2 linked regions of the Oryzias latipes genome follow. Each later gene encodes a partner of the first gene's protein in a complex. Links are inferred from orthologs where the notes say so. Each region holds a gene or a part of one and is shown in the gene's direction. Other genes may lie near its edges.

What was found.
Region 2: heterogeneous nuclear ribonucleoprotein Q (region 1) and dhx9 share a complex: the UniProt entries of both Homo sapiens proteins name them as parts of the coding region determinant (CRD)-mediated complex. The link is inferred for Oryzias latipes from reciprocal best matches to the Homo sapiens genes SYNCRIP and DHX9.

Annotation. Positions count from the first base shown.
Region 1 is NC_019882.2:1,562,483-1,565,982, reverse strand, and holds part of heterogeneous nuclear ribonucleoprotein Q, read left to right. Parts: intron 1-14; coding exon 15-191; intron 192-292; coding exon 293-428; intron 429-518; coding exon 519-724; intron 725-1,310; coding exon 1,311-1,460; intron 1,461-1,546; coding exon 1,547-1,668; intron 1,669-1,752; coding exon 1,753-2,359; 3' UTR 2,360-3,500. UniProt on the Homo sapiens protein: Heterogenous nuclear ribonucleoprotein (hnRNP) implicated in mRNA processing mechanisms. Component of the CRD-mediated complex that promotes MYC mRNA stability.
Region 2 is NC_019875.2:12,671,992-12,675,743, reverse strand, and holds the start of dhx9 (ATP-dependent RNA helicase A), read left to right. Parts: upstream 1-1,112; 5' UTR 1,113-1,210; intron 1,211-1,720; 5' UTR 1,721-1,791; coding exon 1,792-1,902; intron 1,903-1,972; coding exon 1,973-2,113; intron 2,114-2,341; coding exon 2,342-2,447; intron 2,448-2,519; coding exon 2,520-2,674; intron 2,675-2,847; coding exon 2,848-2,996; intron 2,997-3,456; exon of another isoform or gene 3,457-3,516; intron 3,517-3,602; coding exon 3,603-3,649; intron 3,650-3,752. UniProt on the Homo sapiens protein: Multifunctional ATP-dependent nucleic acid helicase that unwinds DNA and RNA in a 3' to 5' direction and that plays important roles in many processes, such as DNA replication, transcriptional activation, post-transcriptional RNA regulation, mRNA translation and RNA-mediated gene silencing.

The DNA of each region.
Region 1 (3,500 bases):
TCTTTTTCTGGTAGATCTTTGTTGGGAAGATTCCCAGGGACTTGTTTGAAGATGAGCTGGTTCCTCTCTTTGAGAAAGCTGGATCTATTTGGGACCTCAGGCTCATGATGGACCCCCTAAGCAGCCTTAACAGGGGTTATGCTTTTGTTACATTCTGCGCTAAAGAAGCAGCACAAGAGGCGGTCAAACTGGTGAGTTCATGGAGTTATTTTCAGACAAAAACTTTCATTTTCAAATTAAAATGGGCCGAACGGCCTGTTCCTGACCGTCATCCTGAAATGCCTTTTTACAGTGTAATAACTACGAGATCCGCCCCGGAAAGCACATCGGTGCGTGTATATCTGTCGCCAACAACAGGCTGTTCGTTGGCTCTATTCCCAAAAGTAAAACAAAGGAGCAGATTGTTGAAGAGTTTTCAAAAGTCACAGGTACGACCGGGGTTCCTGTCGGTACTTGAAGAACTTTCCTTAAATATAAATCTTGTGATTTATTTTGTTCTGAATCTTCTTTGTGTCCAGACGGCCTGAACGATGTGATCCTGTACCATCAGCCCGACGACAAAAAGAAGAACAGAGGCTTTTGTTTCCTGGAGTTTGAAGACCATAAAACAGCCGCTCAGGCACGGCGCAGGCTAATGAGTGGGAAGGTCAAGGTCTGGGGCATCCTGGTCACAGTGGAATGGGCTGATCCCATCGAGGATCCCGACCCAGAGGTCATGGCCAAGGTGAGCATCACCCTTTGAAAACCTGATGCTGAACTGAGAAACCCAATGCATGGAAACGCCTGCAGGCCTGTTCCTTTGCCCCCTTGGGGAAGGATGGGTTTGTTTGAATGTTATCTGGCCAAAGCGGTACTCTTCAAAAAGTGTTACTGCATGACAGAGTACTTAAAATGCTTAATGTCCTTATTTTTAACAGTCTGCAGTGCACCTCTGTTTTCACACACACAAGGAAACATATTTTACCTCTCATCGCCACGGCAACAGACTTTTTTCAGAGCAGTGCACATTATCCGTCGGGTAACTGTATTAGGATCTTCTGCTGTGAAGTACAGACAAAGCTGCGCTCGCTAGAGTAAAGCTCCACCCCCACAGCCTCACGCCTTCTCATAGGAGCCGCCCACAATCACTGGAAAGGCAATATTATTGGCTAGAGTTCAGTAAGACTGGAGAGTGATACGTGATATGAACGAAGCCCAGAAATCTGTTTTTAATGGTTCTGGTAATGCGGCACACGTTGGTACAAGGATGTCCTGACAGAAGGAAGCTGCACAGGTCTGATGGGAAAAGCGTTTCTCTATCTGTGTTGCAGGTGAAGGTTTTATTTGTGAGGAATCTCGCCAACAGCGTTACGGAGGAGATTCTTGAGAAGTCTTTCAGTGCGTTTGGAAAGCTGGAGCGAGTGAAGAAGCTGAAGGACTATGCCTTCATTCACTTTGAGGAGCGGGAAGGTGCAGTGAAGGTACACACTTTCATTCAGAACCAGAGCATTCTTTCTAAAAAACAACACAAAAGAATGGACCTAAAACTGACCAAACCTTCATTTAGGCCTTGGATGAAATGAACGGGAAAGAACTGGAGGGAGAGCCAATCGAGATCGTCTTTGCCAAACCGCCGGATCAGAAAAGAAAAGAACGCAAGGCTCAAAGGCAGGCAGCCAAAACACAAATGTATGAGCTGTTAAATCAGCAGGAAAGCCTTCCTCCTCCACAAATACTGACTTTATGCTTCTGATTTTTTTTCCTTTCTGTCAGATATGATGATTACTACTATTACCCTCCTGCTCCCCACGCGCCCCCTGCAAGAGGCCGGGGCCGAGGAGGCAACCGGGGTGGATACGGCTACCCCTCCGACTACTACAGCTATGATGACTACTATGACTACTACGGCTATGACTATCACAACTACCGCGGCGGCTACGAAGACCCCTATTACGGCTACGAAGACTTCCAGTCCCCGAGCCGAGGGCGCGGCAGCAGCAGGGGCGCCCGTGGCGGAACTTCACCGGCTCGAGGACGCGGCAGCGCCGGCGCGCCGAGGGGCAGGCCCAGCTTCCCCCCGCATGGAGGGCCTGGACCGAGCCGCGGAGGGCGGGGAGCGAGAGGAGGCGTGCAGCCGAGAGGGCGAGGAGGGGTACGTGGTGTTCGGGGTGGCCGCGGTGGAAATGTAGGAGGAAAGCGCAAAGCTGATGGGTACAACCAGCCAGATTCCAAGCGTCGCCAGACCAATAATCAGAACTGGGGCTCTCAACCCATTGCTCAGCAACCCCTCCAAGGTGGTGATCATGCTGGTAACTATTTTGGTTACAAATCTGACAACCAGGAGTTTTATCAGGATTCTTTTGGGCAACAGTGGAAGTAAACCAGTAAGGCTTTCATAAAAGGAAAGAATTTATCCTTTCTGCCTTGTTTTTTCTCATTTAGAGACTTGATCTAATTGGCCCTCTATTCCATTTTGTTGCCAGCTTTATTTTTTTGTTTTTTCCACTCAAAAGTTAGTGACACCTGGCAGGATATCTTTATGTATATATTTTATCGATCCGCTTGGACTCGATCTAGTCACTCTCACCTGCTTCTGGCAAACTGCATTTTTTTCCTTTGTTGTTTTTGTTTTTTTAAGGTGGTCGTAAAAGATTCTTCAAATCCAACTTTTCCAACATTTTTAGATGCGAAATGTGCTGAAGCTGTCTATTTGGCTGTAGCTTAATGTATGTTTTATAGAAATTCTGATTTTAATGTTTTAACTAGTTAAAATAAAAAAGCTACCAAGCTTCTGTCTCCTAAAAATGTATTTAATAAGAGTGAAATTACAATTTGTATTGTAAAAGTAATGCGTGTCTTGTTATTGAAAAGAAAAAAAAAAAAGGACAACCGTAGTCCTCATTTTTGGGCTTTACATTTTGGCTTGTATTCTTTGCTGTTTGTCTGCTTTAATAAACATACACGCACACGTGTACAAAAACTTCAAATTGTGTCGCAAATTCATGTTTCGGCAAATTCTCTTTTCAAATTTTCTTCAAATTTAAGGCTCCATGTGGAAGAAGGTGGACTGAAGGTTTGCCATTGTTGGCCATATGCTACAGTGTCACCTTGCATGCCATCCAGTTCCAAGTCACCTTCTGTAGTCGGCATCTCAGAGCTCTGTCTGTGTAGTGGCGTACCTCATGTCCCAAAACATCTCACTAATTGGTGTCCCAAATTCACTGTCAACGCAGCGACGTCAGAACGGCCTGGGGGGGGGGGGGGGGGGGGGCACAAAAGCACAATTGGATTGTAGCCTCAGACTGAAGCTTTTCCTGGTCCCAGAAGGAACTTTGCTGTTCACAGCGTGGAAACTAAACCTGCATGTTTATCTCCAGGTTTGGCGCCGGACTTGTGTTGGGAAGCAGCGCTTTGCATGCCTCCTCCCTGTAGATCTGATTTATGCCCTCATTCCTGCTTCACCCGTGTCTCTGCCATCTCAGCCTTTCCCCGCTGCTCCCTTAAAGTTTCCCGGCCAGAAG
Region 2 (3,752 bases), on another chromosome or scaffold:
ATTCTGTAGATTAAATCTTCGGTTGACACTGAAAAAATAAAAATGAAATAAAAATCTATGGTTTTAAGCTAATAAACCTTACAATGCAGGTCATGTTACAGCTATGTCATTTTATAAGAGAGATCTGGTTTTTTCTTAAATTAAAATCAGATGAGAAGTTTAGAAATTAGACAAGGATTTGGTCATTTGAAGATTTTTGTTTTATAAAAATAAACTGATTTGTTAAAACAAAATTTATTCGTGAGAAAAACAATGGAACATCCCACGTAACAAAATAAAAGGTTTTTGTTGACTTGATTTAAAATATAATTTACATTTGGAGTCCATATTTCGTGCTCCAAATATGAATCACACAGAAGCAAGATTAATATTTCCATAGTTGTTACTCGAAATTTGAACTTCTGATTGTTTATGGAACTTACATAAATGCTGAATTGAATTCATGAAGGAGAAATTGTGAAAAATTTTCATTTATTCATTTATTCATTCATTCATTCGTTCGTTCATTCATTTGTTCATTCATTCATTCGTTCGTTCATTCATTCATTCGTTCATTCATTTGTTCATTCATTCATTCGTTCTTTCATTCATTCATTCATTCATTCATTCATTCGTTCGTTCATTCATTTGTTCATTCATTCATTCGTTCGTTCATTCATTCATTCATTTATTCATTCATTCATTCGTTAATTCATTCATTCATTCATTCATTCATTCATTCATTCATCTTCTTCCGTTTGCTCCCTTTCGGGGTCACGGGGCTGCCAGAACCTATCTCGGCCACTTGTGGGCGAAGGCAGGGGGCACCCTGGACAGGTCGCCAGTCTCTCGCAGGGTTGGAATAATTTTAATAATTTAAATTTGATTACAGCAACAACAACAAAAACTTACACTGATTTTATGAATGTTTATGACACAGTGGCCACTTATAATCCTTGTGGACAATGGGTTGATGTTAACCACAATGTAATTTGAGTAAAGGAAACCAACTAGAGTGACAAAAGACAGAAATCTAGTTCTCATCCCAGTAGAATAAAAAAAATCATCATGCAGAGGGGCGTTGATAAAAAAGGATCAACTCACTGCCAGGAGCTAACAGTTCATTTCACCTCCAGAACAGAGGGTGGCGCTGTTGCGCGGTAGAAGAGTTCAAAGCTTCCGCTGTTGCCGCTTTGCAGGAATCTGCACTGCAGACTTGACTGAGCGGACGGTAGGTGTTGAATGTAGTCGTTGATGTTAGAATGAAAATGTTTGCTTTTTTAATATTTATTTTGCATACGTACTTCGTGTCTTACTGGCGTTAGTTAGTTTAGCCTCAATGCGTCTGTCAACGTTTACACCGGTTGATGAATGAAGCTAACGTTAGCATACTAGCATTTTCGTTGTAGTTGTCTCAGTTGCAACTGATGATTCAATGTGGGATCAATTGGGGAAAAATATTGCATGGAGGATCACATTATTGCTTGATGATAGGAGCTGCACGTGGCTAGCTGAAGTATAAAAACGGTCAAACATTTCCCCCGTGACTTAGTAACGTTAGTGTTGTTATCGTTTCTCCCTGTGTGTGTGTCGGCGCACATATGTTTTTCTGTTTAGGGTTTCTTTTACGACACGCACGCAGGCAGCGGTTTACTGTAGCTTCCTGAACAACACTGTATGTTTTGATGTGACGCCTGCCAGTGATTCTGCGGTTGTTCAGAGCCACCTCTGTGTTTTACAGGCAACACTAAGGGACCAGGGCACACCTGAAGCTCGCAGGTAAAGCCCACGCGGAGCTGGAAGCTCGCCACTATGGCGGACATCAAGAATTTCCTGTACGCCTGGTGTGGAAAGAAAAAGCTGACTCCCAACTACGAAATCCGGGCGGCGGGCAACAAAAACCGGCAGAAGTTCATGTGTGAGGTCGGTCTGCATTCACAGCCAGCTGGTTTGTAACCAGACTCTCCCGTAACGTCTCTGTTTGCTCCTGAAGGTGCGGGTGGATGGCTTCACCTATGTGGGGATGGGAAACTCCACCAGCAAGAAGGATGCTCAGACCAACGCCGCCAGGGACTTTGTCAACTATCTGGTCCGAGTCGGGGAGATGAAGGCTGAAGAGGTTCCAGCTCTGGGGGTCAGAAAGCTTTTTTTTACGCTTTTTTAAAGGAGATGTAAAAACAAAGCAAACCAGAGGAACATCTTTCCAATCAATAGAGCATCCAGCTATGTTCAGGCCAGAACAGAAAACCATTTAGAAAGTCAAGATCCATAAAGACTGGGAGACTGCAAGGATTAGTCAAAAGTTTACCAGTGGGCAGCGAACACTTAACCGGAACTGACGGCCTTTTGTTGTTCTACCCAGGCCGTGGCTCCAGAACCCAACCAGCCCGAAGGACCTCCGGGAAGCTTCGGAACCCTCCCAGCCAGCGGGCCGCTGCCCCCCCACCTGGTGGTGAAGGTGGAGAAAGGTTTGAGCCGAACACACCTAACCTGCTGCTCCCTGACTTCAGTCCTCTTCATCCTGTGGTTTCTGTTTTCAGAGGCTGATGCCTTCATCAATGCACCTCCAGGACAGACTGAACAAGGGTTCCCTCCTAGAGGTGGCAATGGGGGAGGAGGAGGAGGGGCTGAGTGGGACAGAGGAGCCAACCTGAAGGAGTACTACGCCCGGAGGGATGAGCAGGAGGCTCAAGCGGTACTGGAGCCAGCTATGTGCCATGAAGCTGCTTTTCAAGAAGATCCCGGTCCTTTTGAGCTGTGTTGTCACATGTTGCAGTCACATGACTGTGACAACATTAGGCGGCTTCATAACAGGTGGGACTGCTCTGCCTTAGTACCGGTCCCACTAATGCGGCTCTCCTGTTGTAGACGCTGGAATCCGAGGAGGTAGACCTGAATGCAAACTTGCACGGAAACTGGACCCTGGAGAACGCCAAGGCCCGTCTCAACCGGTTCTTCCAGCAGGAGAAGATCACCTCCGAGTACACGTACAGCCAAGTGGGACCCGATCACAACAGGTCTGGATCAGCGCTCCCCTACAAGCCGTCTGACCAGATCCAGCCTGACGAGCCCAGGTCTCTCGTCAGTCTGGATCTGGTCTTTTCTGCTGTTCAGATCTGTCAGGTGGGGGTGGGAGAGTGGGGTATTGACAAATGAACTCTAATTAAAAAGCTGCAGCTTCTCGGGTTGGTAAATGTTTCCTCTGAAAGGGGCCACACTCCTGGGCCCGCCGCTCACTGGTAGCACCTGTGTGTTTTTCTGCCGGACTGCTGCAAACCCAGAGAGCTCCTGCGTGTGCCGGCTACACCGGAGAGCCCTCACAGCCACATGCTCAACTCAAAGCCTGCAGAGCGACACTAGAACTCACGACCACGCTGAGGAAATACATGGGGATGGCGTTTAGGTTCTCTAAAGCCCCCCCATGGGTGCAGCTCCGTGGTCTCTGGTCGTGATTTGTGGTGTTGCTCTTCATTGTAGGCTTTAAAACCTGAAAGTCTGGCAGAAAAACGCCCAGGTTTCTTTCTGAGGACACATCAGGTGAGTCTGCTCCTGAGGGATGCTTGGCTTTAGGCTTTTACTTTGAAAGGCACGGGATGTAACTCTGCCATGTTATTTGTCTGCAGGAGCTTCATAGCAGAGATGCAGCTGTTCGTGAGGAAGCTCGGCAGAAGTAAGTTTTGACATGTCTGTACATGAGACCACAGAGACGGTTCTGTGCTGAGATTCTTTACGCTTATTTTAGCAGAGCCAGTAAATAGAAATTGGTGCTTTCC